5 linked regions of the Canis lupus familiaris genome follow. The protein of the gene in region 1 interacts with the protein of each later gene in a pairwise test. Links are inferred from orthologs where the notes say so. Each region holds a gene or a part of one and is shown in the gene's direction. Other genes may lie near its edges.

Region 1 (4,010 bases):
TTATTAGGCCTTCTTTGTGCCCACGGGGGTGAAATCCTATATGACTGAAGCTCTGTGTTTAATCCCCCATTCCACCCATCCTGGCCAAAGGCCAGTGGTCACCAAGTGGGGGCAGGGGGTAGGAGGAAACTCCCTTCTACATTTCACTCCTGTAGGCCTAATCCGCCCTTTCTGATGGTGCCTATGCTGCCTCTGACTTTCTGAAAGCGGGAGTAACCATAACTGAATAAAAGAAATATTCTGATGAGCAGGGCCCTTATCAGCCTGGTGGATTTAGGGGAGCAGATGGCTGCTTAGGGCAGTGCTGTCCCACAGAAATGTAACATAGGCTGTATAGCAAACGAACATTTTTCTAATACCTGTATTTAAAAGGCAAAAAAACAAAACAAAACAAAACAAAACAAAAAACCACTCACACACACGGAGAAATAAGTAAAAAGAAAAAGGCAAAGATGAAATTCATTTTAATAATATTTAACCTACTATTACCGAAAGATTATCATTTAAATCCCCTGTATTTTGCACATACAGCCCTAGAGCCATCTACCGCGTGTCCTCCGAGGGCCTACTTTATTGATTTCGCGACCTTATAGGCTAAACCGGTCACCTGCTCCCCCTTTCTTCCTCTACGGACAAATACCCCGATTGGGAGAAAAAAAAAAAAAAAAAAAGGCCGGAGCAGTAAAGGAGCCTCCTTTTCTCCCCGCCTGGAATCCGATTCATCCTCGATGAGTGCTTTTTGCAGGCAGCTGAGATTTGCCGTGCGGGCGGGCTCTGTGCATGTCACCGGGCCGGGTCAGGCACTGCAGGTTCTAGAAGCACCCCGGCCAGTCCCCCCAGAGGCTCGGGCCCGCGGGGCTGGACCCCGGAGGGGAGCGCGGCCCGAGCAGCGGGGCACACACTTGGCAGGGCTCGGATTTCCTGCGCCGGATGGCGGGCCCAGCCCGGAGGCCCGCGCGGAGACGGCGGGGCACAGGATGCGCGGCCGGGAGTGCGCATCCTGGGCACCCGCCCGCGCTCGGCCGCCGCACAGCTGCCGCAGATCCGCCGCGGCCGCCGCCTCCTCCGGGGCCTGGAAGCCGCAGGAGTCTCCCCGCCCCGGGCCCGCGGCCTCCCCCGGCGGGGGCCACGGGGCGGAGTCGCCCACCTGTCATCCGAGACGCCCCACGTGGGTCCGCCCGGCCGCGGGGGGGGGTGGGGTAGAAAAGGGAGGGAGAAAAGGCAGAGGCGGCGAGGGAGGAGAGGAGGCGAGGGGCCGAGGAGAGAGGGGAGCTCCCGAGAGCCGCGCCGAGAGCCGGGGAAAGAGCAGGAGGAGGAGGCAGGGGGACCTGCGGCATCCAGGTAGAGCAGACAGGTAAGGGGCGGGCGGGGGGTGCAGGTGGACGGAAGGACGGGAGCGCCGGGCTGGAGAGCTGCGGAAAGGATGAGAGGCGGGCGAGACGGCAGGGCTGCCAGTGAGGGACCAGGTGAGGCGGAAAGGAGAGCAGGAGAACGATTCTAGGGCGCGGAGGGGCGAGGGTCCTTCTAGGAGAGGCGGGAGGGGAAGCCGGGCCGCAGCGCCTTTAAGGTTGCCAAGGCGACGGCTCTGGCCAGAGCGAGGCGCATTGACGTCAGCAGCCGCGCGCTGATTGGCCGCGGCCGGGTCGTTTCCGGTGGAGCCGCCGCGGAGCCGCTATCGCGGAGTAGAGCCGGGCCAGGAGGGGAGCGCCGGGAGAGCTCAGCTAGCCGCAGCCTCGCACCCGCCGCCCCGCGTCCGCCGCCGCCCGTCCCCAGGTGAGTGGGGTCGGCTGGGAGCCCCGGCGCGCCCCGCCTCGCCGCCCCGCCGCCCGTGTGGGGGCGCTGGACCGATCCAAGATGGCGTCACGGGGAGCGACCTGCAGGGGGACGGCCGCACCCCCTGCCCCTCCCGGGCCTCGGCGGACGCCTCCCCGCGGGCCTCGCGCCGCGAGCCGCGCCCCCGGCCCCGGCCCCGGCCCCGAGCTGCTCCGGCGCGGAGCTCAGCGGCCGCCGCGGCCCCCGGCCCCCCGCCCCCCGCGGCCGTCGCGCCCCCGCCGCCTCCGCCGCCTCCGCACCCGCGCGCCGCGGCCGCCTCGCTCGCCCTCCCCCGTTTCCTGAAGGACAGCGGCTCGATTTTACTGGAATCCGCCAGTCGTTTGCCCCTGCGTTTCGGGCTGATCTGGAGACTCGGCAGTCGGCGTTTTCCCCTTTCTAGTGTCTCCTTGTCATCTCCAGCGGGGGCTTCCTCTCCTCCCTGGGAGCCCACCCCGCCCCCCCCCCCCCCCCCCCCCCCACTCCCAGCGGGATTCTGGCCCGGCTTCTAAATTCCGTTTTTGTCCCCCTTTTCACCTAGCCTTTCCCGATCCCCTCCCCGCCCCCCTGGTTCCCCGGTTCCCCTGCAATTCACCACCCTTGTGGCCTCCCGACCAGAGGAGGATGAAGGAAGGACAGGCCTCCCTTCTTCATTTTGTAGCCGTCACGGCGGCGCGAGCCAAGTGAAGGGCACGCTCCTGCCCTTCCTCTCGACAGAAAGGGAGTACGTGGTCCCCGTTAGCCCCCGCAGCGCGGCGCAGCGCAGGTGTGACGCCCGGCGACTCCCCGGCGGAGAGGACCCAGAGGAGGTGTTCCCCGCGGGTCTCGGGGGCTGCGGTCTGAATCAGCAGGTTTCCCGGCAGCGCGTTCTGTTACCTCCCCGCGAGCGAGCCTCGCGAAACGGAATTTCGTTATGGCAGTTGAGTTTCCAAAAAAGAAAGAATCTTGAGTGTTTTCTGATGGGTCGCTAGGAGTGCAGTGAAAAGTTTCAAAGTAGGTGAATAATTTTTGGGCTGGGGGGGCGGGAGGGGGGCGGGGAGGGAGAAGCCAAACTGTCGGGCTCTCTAGTTTTAAGGACAGGTAGGGAGTTAACCTTGGTCTACCCCATTAAAGGCATGAAGACTTAGGTTTGGGTTTGAGGGGGTTCAGTGATGACGTTAGTCTTGGAGGGTCCTTGTTAGTGTGCTGCTTCGACAGCACTGGTGTGTGCTTTCTGATAGTGTTTGAGACAGGAAGCCCGTTTCACTTCTTAGACCCGGTTTTTTCATTTCTACCAGCCAAAGATCTGATCTTTGATTTCTTTGACCAGTGGAGTACATGTATTGATGATATTCGTGAAATATCACCGAGTATTTTGAAGCATAAAGGATCTGATTTTATCATTATTCTTGGTGGCCTTTCGTATTATTTTACATGCAGAAAATTCTGCCGAAGTGGATTATCGGTTCATGGGATTGTCTGACCTGCCAAAGTGCCTGGTATAAATCCAAAGCAAACTACCCCTCCCCCCATTTTTTGAATGTATATTTCTGAAGTAGCAGTAGCAAGATTCTTTTTTTTTTTTTTTTTTTCCTGTGGCTTTTAATTTATGTGCTTGTCAGGGAGCGACAAACTTTCTCATGGTCTGTTAGTCTGCTTGATGTTGACCTTTGTCATGAAAGTTGTCAAAACAAAATGACTAACAGTGTAGCATTTGGCTCTTGATTTTGGTATCTTTTTTTCTTCCAAACTTACAGTTTCATCTCTGATTTTGTGTGCATTTTATTTGGGAAAAAAAAAACTGATTTGTATTGAATCCAGTTGGGGAGAGAGAGGGCCTCACTTTTATTTTCTTATCTTAATTGCTTAATAATTAGAAGTCAGGAGGAAAATAATTTATGACTGTCGTTAAATTATTAAGCTTTTAATTCCTAGGTAAAGTCAGCTGCTCACTCTAATATTTCTACTTATTTTACTTTATATCAAGGTAGTTGGAATCCTCTCAGGTTCATTTAATGCAGTTTTATCTCTTGAATCTTCATGTAAGTTTAAAATTTAACCTGTTCTAGCATTTTTTTCCTGTCCGGCCAAAGAGAGTGTTTGACATTTACTTGTCCAAATCTTTTTTGATTTAATTGGTAAGGTGGTTTTTTTTGTTTTTTTCCCTGCAGAATTTTTTTCTCTGACTGGCGTGTTCTGTTAGTGTGTGCTGTTATTTAGGG
Region 2 (3,968 bases), on another chromosome or scaffold:
CCCTAGGCTACGTATTTTTAAATGTATACATGTAGGTACGTGCACACACATATATTCCTGACATGAATTATATTTTTTGGTCATGATGTGTCTCTCTCTATATATATTTTATTTTAAGGACAAACACGAAAGACTCGGGAGGCTTGTTACTGCTTCCGCAAGTGCCTGCCGTGCTAACCCACACTGGTCTTGAAAGACTTACTCTCTCCCAACACTTAGCGAGCTCCCCGGGGTTGGACAGGCGCTGGCATCCTCGGCGGGTCCGAACCATGCAAAGCCCCGGCAGCTGCCCTTGCAGCGCTCGGCGGTTAAGGCAGGGTCCCTGGGCGGCCTCCTAGCCAGCCAGTGCCCTGCTCAGCGACCCCACCGCCACCGCAGGACTCAGGTTTCACTCCGGGGTGCAGAGGAGCAGGCGACAGACACAGATCCCAACGCGGGCTCTTTGTTTTGTTTGCACAGTAGACATTCCCACGAGGTCCCTGTCACCGGGCAGCTCTCGCGCATCACTCAGGGGCCTGCTCGGGGGGGGGGGGGGGGGGGGGGGGGGGGGGGGGGGGGGCGGTCACGGCCTACCACCGAGAAAGGTCGCTTCCTGTAACTTTGAGTTGGTTACTGAATCTCTCCCCTTCTTGGTTCTCTTCAGTTAAATGTGCAGGAAATTTAAAACTAGAAGAAACCTTTTTTTTCTTTTTAAATTTTATTTATTTATTCATGAGAGACACAGAGAGAGGCAGAGACACAGGCAGAGGGAGAAGCAGGCTCCCTGCAGGGAGCCCGACGTGGGACTCGATCCCGGGACCCCAGGGTCACAGCCTGGGCTAAAGGCAGGCACTCAGCTGCTGAGCCCCTGGGGACCCCAGAAAGGAGCCTATTTTAAGGATTAGTGGCTAAGATCGTGAATTCTGGAACTGGTGTGTCTGAGTTTGAGTCCCAACACTGCCTCTACTGTGCGACCTCGGGCAAGTTATTTAGCTCCTGTGCCCTGACTCCTCGCTGGGAAAATAGGGCTCGTGAGCACATGTAGTGCTCGAGGTTCTGTGGGTGACCGAACGCAACACACGCAGGTATTTAGGTTGGGTTCAGTGCAGAGTAAGGCCTGTACGAGTATCAGGGCTCATTATGACTTAGGGTTCTTGACTGACTACATTCTAGAACATACGGGGATGCCAGCTGACATGTTCCTGAGAGATGCTATAGCAGCGGCTTTCTATGGTGTAAGTCTGAGGAAGAGGGGAGAGCTCCAGGCAGGAAGCAGGAACTTAGAAGAGTTTTAGGGGATGATTAGACACGAAAAGCATTAAGGGCAGTTCAGATGAACCAGGTTTAGAGGCAGGAATGAATATTTAGAGAGGAGCAGAGGGAAGCAGGGAGCCAAGCCGGCTGGTGCCAGGAATTGGGAAGAGGGCACGGGGTGACTGGAGCCACCTTATTAGGTGGTGAGGGGGTAAGAGTGGATCTTCCTAATTTCAGACTGAAAAATGGGAGGGAGGGAGGGAGGGAGGGAGGGAGAGAGAGAGAATGGACTGGCAAATAGAATAAAGTGATGCACGGAAACATTAATAGGATGGCTCGGCGGGAGACAGAACAGAAGAAATAAGAAACAAGATCTGGTTATTAGACACGGAGAAAATCTAGGGGAGGAGGCCATCATAGCTCCAGGATTTTAAGTCTAAAGGACTGGGAATGTGAGGTCACTTTTAACAAAAATGAGGTTATTAGTAGCATGGCTGCTTGGAGGAAAAGATATGTGTGTTTTTGGATGCGTGGAGTCCAGTTGGTGGAAACCCGTCCAGTGAATGACTGGGCACATGTAGCAGAAAGAGCTTCGTTTGGGAAAAGGGCTGACCCTACTCCTACCTTTTATTTTTTGCATTACTGACCACCTTACTACCATCAACACAAACAGTAAAACCTTGGAGTTCTAGGTTCTAGGTTTATGATGTCTTTGTTTGCCTTATAGGTTTTCAAATCCTCGGAATCTGCTAAATATTTTTAAAGTAAGTTTAAGTTAAATGAATTGCAGTATTGGGTTTTTTTTTTCTTTTCTTTTCTTTTTTCTTTTTTCTTTTTTTTTTTTTTTTTTTTTTTTGTAAATCAATATAAAAACTTGAAAGACAGTGAGTCTCAGATCCATCATGCATCATGCTGCTCCCTGGACAACGTTTACACCGGCCTCCAAGGAATTAAGAACAAGTGGAATCTGTAGCTCTCAGACTCTCCTAAATACTCCTAGACCTAGAAAACAACGGTCTGATCCTCTCTGCCCGGGAAGTACGCTGGCACCGTGTAGCGGCCTCAGTAACGTTGACCCGAGTCTCTTGCCTTTAACGAAACAGGAGCAGGAAAACCGGGGAGGTGGCTTGTGTGTCATCGCAATACTGATCACTGGGTGAGAAGTGCACTTGTGAGCTAGTCCAGGGCTGCCTGGCGACTGCGAGAGGCGAGGGCCTGGGAGCCGGCCACCTTCCCGAGCCCGGGGTCCGGGGCTGCACGCTTGTGGACACACCTGTCTCGGGTTATTTGGATTCCGGCTTCAAGGTACGGCCCTCGGCAGGGGACCCTTAATACTAAACATTCTGCTTTTTAGTGATTGAGGCAACAAGCCGAATATGGCTAGTTTTGTCCCTGGTTAAATATAGCTGCACAGATGTTTGACCATAATGGAATATTCGTGTCTGCAGTCCGGGGCTTCCGGATTTTTTTTTTTAATGACTTTTTTTCCTTTTTAAAGATTTTATTTATCCATTCAGGATAGTTGCAGAGAGGAGAGAGAGAGAGGCCGAGACCCAGGCCGAGGGGGAAGCAGGCTCCTCGCAGGGAGCCCGATGCGGGGCTCGATCCTGGGGCCCGGGTCACGGCCTGGGCCAAGGCCGCCTCCGCCGCTGAGCCCCCCGTGCCCCCTTCGGTGCCCCAGGACCTTTGAGCGGTCGGCTGTCCTCCCGGAGAGCCCGCGCCGGCGCCGATGCAGGCAGCGCCCCCTGCGCCAGGGCTTGGGCCAGGCTCCGCGGCCAGCGGCTCGGGGACCCGGGAAGTGGCGGCTCTGAGCCCCGGGGTCGCGCCCCAGGGAGGGGCCTTCGGGGGGGGGGGGGACGAGCAGCTGCTCCAAGGCCCGGGAGGCCAAGGGGGCCCAGGGCCGCACAGCCCCGCACTTCCCACGGCCCGACCCCCCTGACCCCCGCCTGACCCCCCGGCCCAGGGCAGCTTCCCCGGCAGCAGGTTCCCCCCAACCCACCCCGTGCATGGCCCCTGCAGCCCCACCCCCCGCCCCCCTGCAGGCCGCACTCCCTCCCCCGCCCCCCTGCAGGCCACTCCCCCCAGCCCTCCCCCGCAGGCCGCCCCCCCCCCCGTCCCCTCTTCCCCTTCCCCTCTGCAGACCCCTCCTCCCCCCTCCTCCCTGCAGGCCGCTCCCCCCCCCCGCCCTCCCCCTGCAGACCATCCTACCTGGGGATGGGGGGAGCAGGCCCGGGCAGAGGCGGGGCGGGGGGGGGGCAGTGCCCAGGGCGGGGGGTGCCCGCCAGCCCGGGGGCGGGGGGAAGGCCTCGGACAGGACCCGGACCCGAGCGCCGAGACCACGTGAAGGACCTTCAGGTCCCTTTTAAACGCGACGAGCAGGGACTTTGAGCAAAGGGACCCTGCCGGGTCCCTGATGGGGCGCCGGGGGCTCGGGGTGAGCGCGGCCTCCGGCCCAGGCCGTGACCCCGGGTCCTGGGTTCGAGTCCCCCGTGGGGCTCCCCGCGAGGAGCCTGCTGCTCCCTCCGCCTGGGTCCCCGCGTCTCTCTCTGTGTCTCTCACGCATAAATACATGAAATCTTTAAAAAATAATAGCGACAGCTGTGTCGGGGAGGGCAAGGGCCACGTGGCGGGGCCCAGCCTGGGAGCAGCCGCTGCCTCCTCGCCCGGCACCGGGGGGCCTGCGCTCGCTACACCTCGACCAGAAAAAGGACAAAGGGCCCTCGGGGCGGGAACAC
Region 3 (4,043 bases), on another chromosome or scaffold:
CGTTATGGGCCCAGGACCAGAGAACCCTATTAAGTTGCTCTAATTATACAGTGAAAAGATCCTGGGTTGTAGTTAATAGTCTCAACACTGACACATCATAATCTTGGACAAGTTGGACTTCTTTTTGGTCCTGTTTCCCGAACTGTCACATGATAGACTCAGGAATTAAAAAACAAACAACTCAGGAGGCACCTGGATAGCTTAGTGGTTGAATGTCTGCTTTTGGCTCTGGTGGTGATCCTGGGGGCCTGAGATGGAGTCCCATATGGGGCTCCCTGCAGGGAGCCTACTTCTCCCTCTGCCCATGTCTCTGCTCTCTCATGAATGAATGAATGAATGAATGAATGAATGAATGGAGTCTTAAAAAAAAAACAAAACCTCGGTGAACATTTATCTTTCAGACTCCTTCCCCACAGGAGCACCCACAAGGCTACAATTATTACCCAATCAGCACACTTAACCGGTGGTAAGGGACACTGAGTTGGGGGAAAGACTTGTTTCACTCTGCATTAGTCATGAATGGAGGGCCTGAAGATTCACTGGAAAAAGACATTTGAACAAAGCTTGAAGGATATTCAGGAGTTTGCCTTGTAAATTCCTGGGGATGCTTGTGTTACTGTGCCTTTCAAACCTGAGCATTCGCAGGGATTTGGTTCTGAAAACAAGCCCACTTCTCCTTTTTTATCGCCGAGGTCATTGTGATTGGGAGTGCGTGGGGAGCCGCAGAAAGCAGGTTATGCCTCCTCTCCCCCCTTGGAGGAGCGGTGACCTCCCGGTACCCCCGCGACCCGGAGGCGCGGTGGAGGTGGTCTGCTCGCCTGGGCCTGGCGGTGCAGGGTGAAGCCCCTCTGGCGGGTCAGCGCCTTTCAGCCCAACTGGACAGAGAAGCAGGAGGGGCTGAGCTGGAGCGAGGCAGCGCGGCCCTCGCCTTGTCCAAGGGCATGCCCTGAGTGCCACGGCCGCGCGCCCCGGGCCCGAACACCGCGCCATCCCGCTCCGGGGTCGGAGGTGCGGGGCGCGGGGGGGCTGCGGCTCGGGGAGGACCCGTTTTGCGGGGGCCGTGCCCGCACCGCTCCACCGCGGGGGCACCACCGCAGGCTAGAGGTCCCCGGCGCCGGGGAAAGGGCACAGGCCGCGGGCGCGCAGGGTCACGTGGGCGGGCCGGGCGCGTGCCCCCGCACCCACGAGAGGAGGCGGGGCTGGGGGGCGGGGCCGGCGGGGCTGGCGGCGCGGCCTCCCGTGAAGCCTCGCGCGGGGAAGGACCGGAACTCCGGGCGGGCGGCTTGTTGATAATATGGCGGCAGGCGCTGCCTGGGCTTCCCGAGGAGGCGGTGGGGCCCACACCCGGAAGAAGGGTCTCCTTTCAGGCTAGTGCGGCGGCCGCTGCGGACCCGGAAGTCCGGGCCGGTTGCTGAATGAGGGGAGCCGGGCCCTCCCCGCGACAGTCCCCCCGCGCCCTCCGCCCCGACCCGGGCCCCGCCATGTCCTTCTTCCGGCGGAAAGGTAGCAGAGGGGGCTCCGGCGGGGAGCCAGGCCGGGCCTCAGGGGCGGCGGTGGGGCCGGTGGGCCTGCACGGGCTTTCTCCCCGGGGGGCGGCGAGGCCCTCGGCCTCCGCACAGACGCCCCGTGCGTGCCTTGCTTTGCTCCCGGACTCTGCAGGGAGGGAGAAGGCGGCCTCCTCGCGCGAGGTCAGAGGGGAATTGTCTCGCTGGTCTGGTCCGAAAGTGTTTGCCGGAGCCCGTACAAGTTAATGCCTGTTTGCGTAAAAACCGCTCTCGCGTTTGTGTGCTTGTGTGTCTCAACTGTAGATCAAAAAGAAGGAAATTCCTTTAGTACCGTGTTACGGAAGTCTCTGACTTTTTCAGAATATTGAGGGTTTTTATGTCTAAAAGCAACATGTGAAAAAGCTGTTTTCTTCAACTAGTGCCATTTTCTGGTTTCCCCTTCTTTGGGGGTGGGGTGGTGGAGAGGAGGATCCTGCAGTTCCTAAAATAACATTACTTATTGCTAAAAGTTCCCTAGTGAAGAAGACTCTTTTGATGACTTAGCAAGTCTACTAACTATTGGGACAGCTCACTTTGTAAACTACTTATATTTCTGATTTTCAATTGTGGATAGCTGCCAGTTTTTGAGTAGAGGCAGCTTAATTTTGATCCTGGATAAGGAGGTGGTTGTGTTTCATTAAAAATATGTATCCAAAATGAACGAGCGTAGGTCTTTTTGGATGATAGTGGTTCTTTGAATTCTTGTTATTGGAGAAAAAAATGTACCAAACAAACACACACAAAAAATGCAGCCCACTAAATAAATCAGGGACTTAGGTTCACATGACTCCTCTGCTAGTGACGGTCGCTTGGAACAGAAAAGTGTTAACCCACTTTTTCCTTCTCTCTCAGCTGAGAATGAGATGATTCCTAAAGGCCCCATTCAGATATGAATTCAAGAATTCATTTTAAGTACATAGTGAGTTTTAGTAATTGATGTCATGGGGTGAGTGAATAAAACTGTGATGAATGAATGAAAGCACTGCTGAGTGAAGGAAACCTTTAAAATGGTACAGGAAGCTTTGTTGATAAGGTACCTGGGTATAGTTAATTTAATAGCTCTTAATTTGTTTGACAGTGTTGTAATAGGTTGTTTTGGTCTTTTTTTTTTTTTTTTTTTTTTTTAAGGAGGAAAGAAGCATTCTGTGTATAATGAGGCAAATTGCATGTTGCATAATAGACTGTTGTCTCTGTTCAACAAATACTTTTGAATGCCTGGTGTTTGGCAGGCACTGTGTTAGGCCCTCGTTGTTAAGCACTGAACAAGGCAATGTCCCTTTACCTATGGAGCTTATTGTCTGCTGGGACAGGCGGACAGTAAATCTTTCTTTCTGTACCTGTGTGTATTTACAGATTGATAACCTGTTATGACAGAGATAACCTGAGAGGAGAAGCATATTTTGATTTGATGTTAGAGAAAGACCTCAGCAGGTGACCTTGAAACTTAAAGCTGAGGGATCAGTAGAAGGTAATAGAGGTTAGGGAAGAGTATTCTAGGAACAGGGAGTAGCATGTTCAAAGGTTGTAAGTCAAGAAAGAGTTTGATGCCCTTCAAGAAAGAAAGGAAGGCCAATGTGCTTTGGGCTTGGAGAGGTAGACAAGATTCGAAGCTTTGTAGGCCATAGTTAGGTTTTATTCCAAATACAGAGACACTATAATTTGTTTGTTTGTTTGTTTGTTTAAGAGAGCATGAGTGAGGAGGGAGATGGAGAGAATCTTAAGCATGCTGCACACTCAGCATGGAGATGCTGCGGGGCTCTGTCTCTTGACCCCGAGATCATGACCTGAACTGAAATAAAGAGTCAGACGCTTAACCCACTGAGCCACCCAGGCACCCCTTAAAATTTTTTAAAGAGGAATGATTTGATCTTGTGTTATAAAAAGATCATTGTAGAAGCTTTTTGCAGACTGAATGTGGCAAGAGTAGAAGCTGGAGATGCTTCTGTTTAGGGATTCCATCCAGTCTTTAAATACCATTTTTAAATACCACCTATACGCTGATGACTCCTGAATTTACATCTCCAGCTTGAATTCTCTCCCCTGAATTAGGAGTGGTATATCTAACTGTTGGTCCATTTCATACCTCTACCTAATAGATATATCTATTAATAGAAATAATAGATATAGTAAGCGAAAGATCCATCTGTTAGCCTAAAATTTAACTCCAGGTTTTTTTTAGTACGTTCTTGAACCTCTCGTTTTCTCCTACCCTATATCTACATCAGCAAATCTGCTAAGTCTACCCCAGAATGTAATCAAATTTGGTCTTTTCTCACTATCCCTGACCGTTAACTCCCTAGTCTAGATGATCATCTCTGTTTAGATTGGGCGGTTAATGAAGTCCTCTAAGAGGATGTCATTCAAATCTCAGCTTAAATGTTAAGAGGAAGCTTGTTTTATGAAAGTAGAGTAAGTAGGGCTCAGTTGGTTGAGAATCGGACTCTTGATTTCAGTCAGGTCATGATTTCAGGGTCGTGAGATTGAGCCCTGTGTTGGGCT
Region 4 (4,175 bases), about 20 Mb from region 1:
GTCAGTGGCTAAGGGTGGCACCAACAGCCCATTGAGGAAGGTCATTGTTTTTTTTTTCCCCCCAAAAAAAGAAACTGATTGGGACACATGGGTGGCTCAGTGTGGGCATCGGCCTTCGGCTCAGGGTGAGATCCTGCAGTTCCAGGATTGAGTCCCACATTGAGCTCCCTGCATGGAGCCTGCTTCTCCCTCTGCCTGTGTCTCTGCCTCTCTCTCTCTGTCTGTCTGTCTCTCATGAATAAATGAATAAAATCTTAAAAAAAAAAAAAGAAATTGTGAGACTTGAAAGTGCCTCGAAAGTACGTTCTGATTCATTTCTGTGTCCTGCTGTGCTTTGTACCCTATAGGTGTCCATAAGTATTTGTTGGATAGGAATGACATTAGGCCTTTATGTGACTTTTGGGTTGGTCATATTCTACCATCTGCCATTTGGAAAATCAGCATCTCACCTGTTGATCTGCCCACCTGAGGTGATGGTGTGAAGGGCTGCTTGCCTCACACCATCTTCTAATTTCTCCTGAAGGCATGTGTCACCTTTATTAGCTTTTTTGGGTAAGCTTTTTGACAGAGCACAACTTCCTATCTTTTGGGCAGTCATGAGTAGTGTTCTGTGGTCATGGATGGAAACTCTGTGTACCTAGAAACACTTCCCTGGTACCTGCTTTATCACTATCCTCAGAGATTTGTCAGAATTTACTGGTAAAACAATGTGGTTGCCAAGAGCTGGGGATGGATGTGACATGGTTTTTATTAAGGTTTTTGAAAACCTCATTCCTACTCCCTAACTGAAGCAATGGGAAGACCTTTGTAGAAAATGCTGATTCCCACCCCTCACCCCGCCCCCCCCAGCCTTGTTCTTTATAACTTAATGAGACTGGACCTGCCCAGTGTTTGGTCAGCAGAACAAGGGAGACTGGGCATTTCACCTTTGTGTGGGGGGTTCTCTTTTTTACCAAGTTTTCCAAACTGGAAGTTTAATTTGTAATTGAATTAGAGGAGAAACAATTCTTAATTTGAGACCATGTCCAGAGATGGGATTTTTTGTTTCTGGTTCTTCTTACCTGGAGCTCCTGGGATTGGACTCTGGGTCTCCATTTTGCCTGGAGAAGACTTCACCGAGCAGGTACTCACACCCTGATGGTACTGGGTTAAGCCCTCAGTCTCCTGGAGAAGAGCCTGGGAAGCGTTCTATGACTTTTGGACAGCTGATCTACCTAACCGGGAGTGGGGATGGGCTGGCCACGGTGCCTCACCTGGCTGCTCTGTGGGGCCATCACAATGAAGGATGTGGGGACAGTATGGGGAGGACTTCACAGCCCCATTGTGAGCTAATTTGGAATCTTTAGGGTGCCAACATGAGTCACAGCCCACACAGGCCCCCTATGGATGAAGGTAACAACTGTTTGAACATCAGGGCTGGGCTGAGACCAACGTCCCTGAGGCATGGCTCCAGCACTCTGATTCCTGGGCCCCAGCCATGCTGAGGGTGAATTGCCCAGCTTACCACCATCCCCCACCCTCAGTGGCAGCACCAGATACCACCCAACAAGGTAGGCATTGGCTGTACAGCATTTATCTAGGTCTTATGTTTGTTTCTGGTCTGCTGGGAAGGCCCTCTAGGACTATACTATCCTTTAGGTAGCCACTAGCATTATGTAGCTATTTCAATTAATATTAAATAAAATATAAATTCAGTTTCTCAGTTTCACTGGTCACATTTCAAGTTAGCCCCCTGTGACTAAGTAGTTGCCAATATTGGACTGTAGTCGCCACTTGGAGATCACCCTGGCCTTTACCTCTTGTGACCTGCTCTGCTTTGGCTATGTTTCAGTTGCTGCCACTTGTTCCCATTGCCTTGACAGTAAAGGTCAAACTCCTTTTATCTGGCCTCCTACCAGCTCTTCAGCTTCACTCCCAGGACTTGTTCTGGTCTGGGACTTGCTGCTCCCTTCCACCCGCAAAGGCATCTTGGGTTTAGAACCTTAATTTACGTCTTTAACCCACCATTGCAACCTGAGCAAATTCTTGGTGCCTTTGAGGCAGTTGGATTCTGTTGCCTACTTCTGATATTGGGCTCAGTTTGGTGCAGGTCTGTGTGTGAGAGACACACAGATTATTCAGTACACATTGTGAGCTTCTGGTGGACAGAATCTTTTTCTTGCAGCAACTTAAGCGTATTTATGTGTGAATTATTACGTGAGTGAACGTATGTGCGTAACCTCAACCTGATGAGGAATCAGGTAAAAGCATCCTATGAAACTAAGAGGCCCTTCTGTGGTCTTGCACAGACCTCTGTGGTCTTCCTTCAGTAGACTGGTGGGGCGGGTTGAGGGGATGGGATGGAAGAAGGGAGGGGGGACCTTGACCTGGCCCATAGCCTGCTGTTCTCTGAATGCAGTGGTAGGAAATACTGGGCTTCAGGTCTTGGATCATGTTAGCTGTTCCTGTCCTTTGAAGACCCCCTTCAGGGGGAAAAGCCCCTGAACAACTTGACGTCCTGGGCATTCTAGAGATGGAGTGTCTTGAACACCAGGGGCCAGTCTTTGGGAATGTGAACACATAACCCTGGAATATTGGAAATGTTCAAATTTCAACTTGCCAGGAGTGTGGGGTGTGGGGATGGGGTGGTATAGAAAAGTCCATTCAGAATGCTGAGTGGATGTGACTTCACTGACCAGGCCTAAGTCCGCAGTGGACTTGATGGCCACTTGGCTACTAAGTGCTTGTTTTTATGATCAACTTTCCCATCAATTAATTACATGCAGCTCTTTTTTCCCACAATAATTGCAGCCAAATGGGCTTAGTCACTGGGACCAACACTGTTTGTACTGTTCCCAGAAATTTGTTTTCTTGTTTAGCAGAAGGCTCTAGACTGCAGTAACTGGGCTGGTCATCGGTGCTGGGAGTGAGGCCATTACTTCTCCAGAGGTAAGCTTTTCTGAGAAGCTGCAGGTTCCTCTGGGAGAAAGGAAAGGAATCCTTTTAGAACTCAGACAGAGCAGGTAAACCTCAAGGCCTTGTGGGGCCACGGCACGTGCCTGCCTTCAGCTCTGTGTGACCACTGGGCAACCAGCCAGCGTGCATCTATTCCCGGGCAAATGGACCTGCTAAAAATAAGCAGGCAGCTATTTAATTCCAACAGATTCAAAATAGCCATGTCTCCTCCCCACCAACCCTCAGGCAGGGTGCTGTATCCTTCTCCAAGGCTTTTCTCTGGCTTGCCTGAGTGTCTGGGGCCTCAGGAGGGGGGAGGCCCTGGGGGAGGTGGCTGCCTTCAATTAGCTTGTGAGTGTGAGGCTTTTAGACCTATGGTGTTAAATGCCACTCAGATCTGGAGAAGTTCAGTTTTTTTTTTTTTTTTTTTACAGAAAACCAAAAACCAGGGCAAAGAGAGCAATTCAGGAGTCTGTTCCAGAGAAGGAAGGTAGCAGAGAGCTTAATAAGGCTGAAGTGTGCACACCTGCACATGTGGGCCTATGTGTATATGCACAGGTGAAGGCGGCCCTGTCTGTGAATTCAGGAAAGGTTGGTGCCTCTCACAGCCCCTGTCTAGGCCTATCAGACCATGTAAAGTGGGGCACATGGCACCTTATCAATTCACCAGAAGTCTTTTAACTGAGGTGAGATTGGCTGGGTAAGACCCTTGGAAGTTAAGGGCTAAGGAAGTGAGGGACTGCTTGGTCACCTGGCGCTCCCTGAGAGGCACCTCCAGGCAGCGGGACTCCTTTGTGGGGGGCAGCTGCTGATCATATGGGCTCTTGGCTCTGTTTTTGGTGGAGATGGCTAATACCTCTAATCACAGGCCCTAGGTAGCAAGGAAGAAAACAAAGCACGCCTTCTCCTGTCTGGGGATCCTTACACCTCTTTTCTCAGATTGGGGGAGCACTTCAGTTGGGCAGTTCTTGTACCTGTAGGTCCTCATAGAGAAAAGCAGTTTCCCTGGAGGAGCAGGGATACTGTCTCCTGGCTCCTAAGCTGTAGGCCGAGTGAGAGTGGTGGGCACTGGGGACCTAGGTGCAGCATACAGTATTCTTTTGGTTGGGTGACGTGGCCTCAGGGTAGCCATGTTAATAAACACGTCCTAGGGGGCCCTGGTGCCACAAAGCAGGAGACATCTGGCTCAGAAATGGTATAGAAACTTGTTTCCTGGGATCCCTGGGTGGCGCAGCGGTTTG
Region 5 (2,991 bases), on another chromosome or scaffold:
TACTCCTTTTGCTTGAAGTACCCTTCTCTGTCCCCACACCTGTCCGTATGTGTAGTCCCCACTTACCCGCTGAACAGTTCCGCTCTAGAAAAGCCTCCCCTGACCATCCAGTCTGAATAGCTTCCCAGCTAGTTTTTGTAAATCATTTTTAAAAATCGTAACATTGACTTACTATTTGGTTCTCAATTTTGTTTTCTGTTTCACTCCTGACCAACTAGGGTGTAAAACTTGAGGAACAGGGACCTTGCTCATGTTGTATATTTTTTCCCTGCACTTAGATCAGTGCCTAACAGAGTGAATACTTGTTGGATGTTTAAAGATAGCGTAAAGTGTGAAAAATTATCCATGATTGTACTTCTCAAAGGTAAATAACAGTTGTTGACACCATGGTATATACTTTTTTAATTTTATTTTCTGTGTGTATGCTTACGTGTTTGTTCACAAGTGTCTGTGATTACGCGTTTATACTATATTTCATTGAATCTAAAGATGAACATGGTTTAGTATATTTTATGTCTCTGAAATTGAGATGTCATATAATCAGAGGTATGCCGTGAGGTAACTAGCAGCCTTTCTCATTTCCAGTGGCACATAAAATGAAGATGTGTCTTAAGGTCTGTAGCATCTTAGATTTGATGAAATGCGATATATATTTGAAACAAATGAGATTATGATGTTCCACTCTTTCCACGCCTAAATATCTTGACCATTTTCCCATATCACTATATTTAGATCTATCTCATTATTCCCAGGTATCTAGCATATTATGGGTTATCATAAATTGTCCAACCAGTTCCTCATGGTAGACATTTGGAGCTTTTCCAGTTTTGTGTGTGTGTGTGTGTGTGTTGTAAACCGTGCTGTGTTGGACATCCTTGTGCACGTCTTCATACACTCAACTGGAATTTCTTTTGATAAAACACCTAGATCAGTGAGTACCCGTATCTTCCGTAGTGTATAAGGGCACCATTTCCCTGTATCCTCAGTAGTACTGCGCCTGAGGAAATTTTAAAAACTTTTGTTAATCTCGTAAGTGAAAAAAATATCCTAATGTCATATTATCATTTCTTGGGTTATGAGTGGGATTGAGCCTCTTTTTGTGTTTATGGACTGTTTTTATTTCTTCTTCCATGATGCACAGTGTGTAGGACAGTAAACCTTTAATTGGCTGGCATGTTTGGTGTAATTAGAAAAAGAGTCATAGTTTGGAGCCCTGTATTATCATATAATTTCTTGGGAACAGCTTTCAGGATAGAGCCTACCCTTGTGGGGAGCAAAGGGGCTTTATAAGGACCCATGATTAGAGGAGACAAATTCAGGAATAATCAGAATCTTTATAGTGGAGGCCAGAAAAGGGTACAGTATCATCAGTTTGTGAGTTGAATACTGGAATTTAGACTATGCTGTTAGACTTTAAATGTTCCTCTTCTCTTTAATATGACTTAGTTGTGGTAGTATTAGGTTAGTAGGTCTGAAATAGGACACAACTCAAGGACTTGAATGAAGTCACTGTTGAATCTAATGATTAAATCTGTGACCATTTAAGAGTAGATTCATAGGAGTTTTTTACACAATGCCAAAACGTTGTCAACAATTTTGAACACCTTTGCTGTGCCGGCGGGGGGGGGGGGGGGGAGGGTCAGTTTCAAAGGTAGATTGCAGATGGTCTATCTTGTAGGTTCCATTGCAGCCTTTAAAGGAGACAGATTTCAATCCTTTGGTAAGAATGAAGCCAGAAGGTATATGGAATGTGAAGAGCACAGAGGAAGGTGTTTAGTCTAAATGAATTTAAAAGAGGGTCACCTGGGGGGCTCAGTGGTTGAGCATCTGCCTTCGGCTCAGGGCGTGACCCCAGGGTCCTGGGATCGAGTCCCACATCGGGCTCCGCGCAGGGAGCCTGCTTCTCCCTCTGCCTGTGTCTCTGCCTCTCTCTGTGTCTCTCATGAATAAACAAAATCTTTAATAAGTAAATAAATATGTTTAAAGGAGACTCCTGGCTTTGATACACTCAACTGGAAGTGAGTTAGTCGATAACCTAAACTGAGTCCTAAAGGATCAATAAGAGTTAACTGTGAGTATCAAGTAGTAAAGGATACGACAGCATGAGAGAAGGCATGTGTAGATGAAGTGGACTGTGAGGAGTAGAGTTTTCTTAGAACATAAAGTTTGAGCTGAAGAGTGACTTGATGAGTCTGGGAAGGTAAGCAAGAACCAGATAACGAACAGCCTAGTGTGCCATGCTTGAAAATCTGCATTTTGTAGGTCAAGGAGAGTTCTTTTGAATAATGACATGGTGAGATTTGCATTTGAGAAATCACTGCCTGAAGACTGATTTAGGGGGCAAGACCAAAGACACATTGGCAAATAGTTCTGGTAATCCAGGTGAGAGGATTAAGGCTTTAGCTCATTGGGAATAGCTTACCAGAAAAAATTCTTAATTTCTCTTAGTTTTTACAGAATTTTGCCCTCTTCTTCAGAATCCCTCTGAGATTAAATTTCATGGAACTGAGATTATTATTTTGCAGAAAAGACTTATATTCGTTGTCCAGTTGTTTATTCCTTTATGTCTGTAAGAAGTTTATGCTTTTATTAATATCTACTTAACTAGTATAGTGCTATATGGATTTTTGGACTAGTAAGATTTTTGATGATTATAAAAGCAGGACATGTTAACCCTTTTGGTACGCTTGGTGATTATCTTGGTAACCATTTGGGAGCATTTGCCTTTGAGTAAAAGTAAAGATTTGTTAGATTAAATTTAGGTTATATAATTTTTAACTTACATGAATTCATAACTTTTATGTGCTAATTTCTTTCTTTCTTTCTTTCTTTTTTAAAGGCTATCAGCAAAAGATGGTGGATCGCTTGGCAAACAGTGAAGCAAATACTAGACGTATAAATATAGTAGAAAACTGTTTTGGAGCAGCTGGTCAACCCTTAACTATACCTGGAAGGGTTCTTATTGGAGAAGGAGTATTGACTAAGTTGTGC

What was found.
Region 2: the proteins of PRKAR1A (region 1) and C37H2orf88 interact in binary tests that used the Homo sapiens proteins (3 or more experiments, as listed by UniProt). The two-hybrid records come from large-scale screens. The link is inferred for Canis lupus familiaris from reciprocal best matches to the Homo sapiens genes PRKAR1A and AKAP19.
Region 3: the proteins of PRKAR1A (region 1) and AKAP10 interact in a two-hybrid assay, tested with the Homo sapiens proteins (3 studies listed by BioGRID and IntAct). The link is inferred for Canis lupus familiaris from reciprocal best matches to the Homo sapiens genes PRKAR1A and AKAP10.
Region 4: the proteins of PRKAR1A (region 1) and AKAP1 interact in a two-hybrid assay, tested with the Homo sapiens proteins (2 studies listed by BioGRID and IntAct). The link is inferred for Canis lupus familiaris from reciprocal best matches to the Homo sapiens genes PRKAR1A and AKAP1.
Region 5: the proteins of PRKAR1A (region 1) and PLEKHF2 interact in binary tests that used the Homo sapiens proteins (3 or more experiments, as listed by UniProt). The two-hybrid records come from large-scale screens. The link is inferred for Canis lupus familiaris from reciprocal best matches to the Homo sapiens genes PRKAR1A and PLEKHF2.

What each region holds. Positions count from the first base shown.
Region 1 is NC_049230.1:11,742,570-11,746,579, reverse strand, and holds the start of PRKAR1A (cAMP-dependent protein kinase type I-alpha regulatory subunit), read left to right. Parts: upstream 1-1,203; 5' UTR 1,204-1,354; intron 1,355-1,614; exon of another isoform or gene 1,615-1,773; intron 1,774-2,643; exon of another isoform or gene 2,644-2,802; intron 2,803-4,010. UniProt on the Homo sapiens protein: Regulatory subunit of the cAMP-dependent protein kinases involved in cAMP signaling in cells.
Region 2 is NC_049258.1:690,294-694,261, forward strand, and holds the start of C37H2orf88 (small membrane A-kinase anchor protein), read left to right. Parts: upstream 1-1,168; 5' UTR 1,169-1,214; intron 1,215-1,428; exon of another isoform or gene 1,429-1,444; intron 1,445-1,960; 5' UTR 1,961-1,997; intron 1,998-2,336; 5' UTR 2,337-2,538; intron 2,539-3,968.
Region 3 is NC_049226.1:40,468,085-40,472,127, forward strand, and holds the start of AKAP10 (A-kinase anchor protein 10, mitochondrial), read left to right. Parts: upstream 1-1,239; 5' UTR 1,240-1,415; coding exon 1,416-1,503; intron 1,504-4,043. UniProt on the Homo sapiens protein: Differentially targeted protein that binds to type I and II regulatory subunits of protein kinase A and anchors them to the mitochondria or the plasma membrane.
Region 4 is NC_049230.1:31,842,936-31,847,110, forward strand, and holds the start of AKAP1 (A-kinase anchor protein 1, mitochondrial), read left to right. Parts: upstream 1-1,362; 5' UTR 1,363-1,550; intron 1,551-2,838; exon of another isoform or gene 2,839-2,858; 5' UTR 2,859-2,928; intron 2,929-3,368; 5' UTR 3,369-3,476; coding exon 3,477-3,620; intron 3,621-4,175.
Region 5 is NC_049250.1:40,390,014-40,393,004, reverse strand, and holds part of PLEKHF2 (pleckstrin homology domain-containing family F member 2), read left to right. Parts: intron 1-2,839; 5' UTR 2,840-2,853; coding exon 2,854-2,991. UniProt on the Homo sapiens protein: May play a role in early endosome fusion upstream of RAB5, hence regulating receptor trafficking and fluid-phase transport. Enhances cellular sensitivity to TNF-induced apoptosis.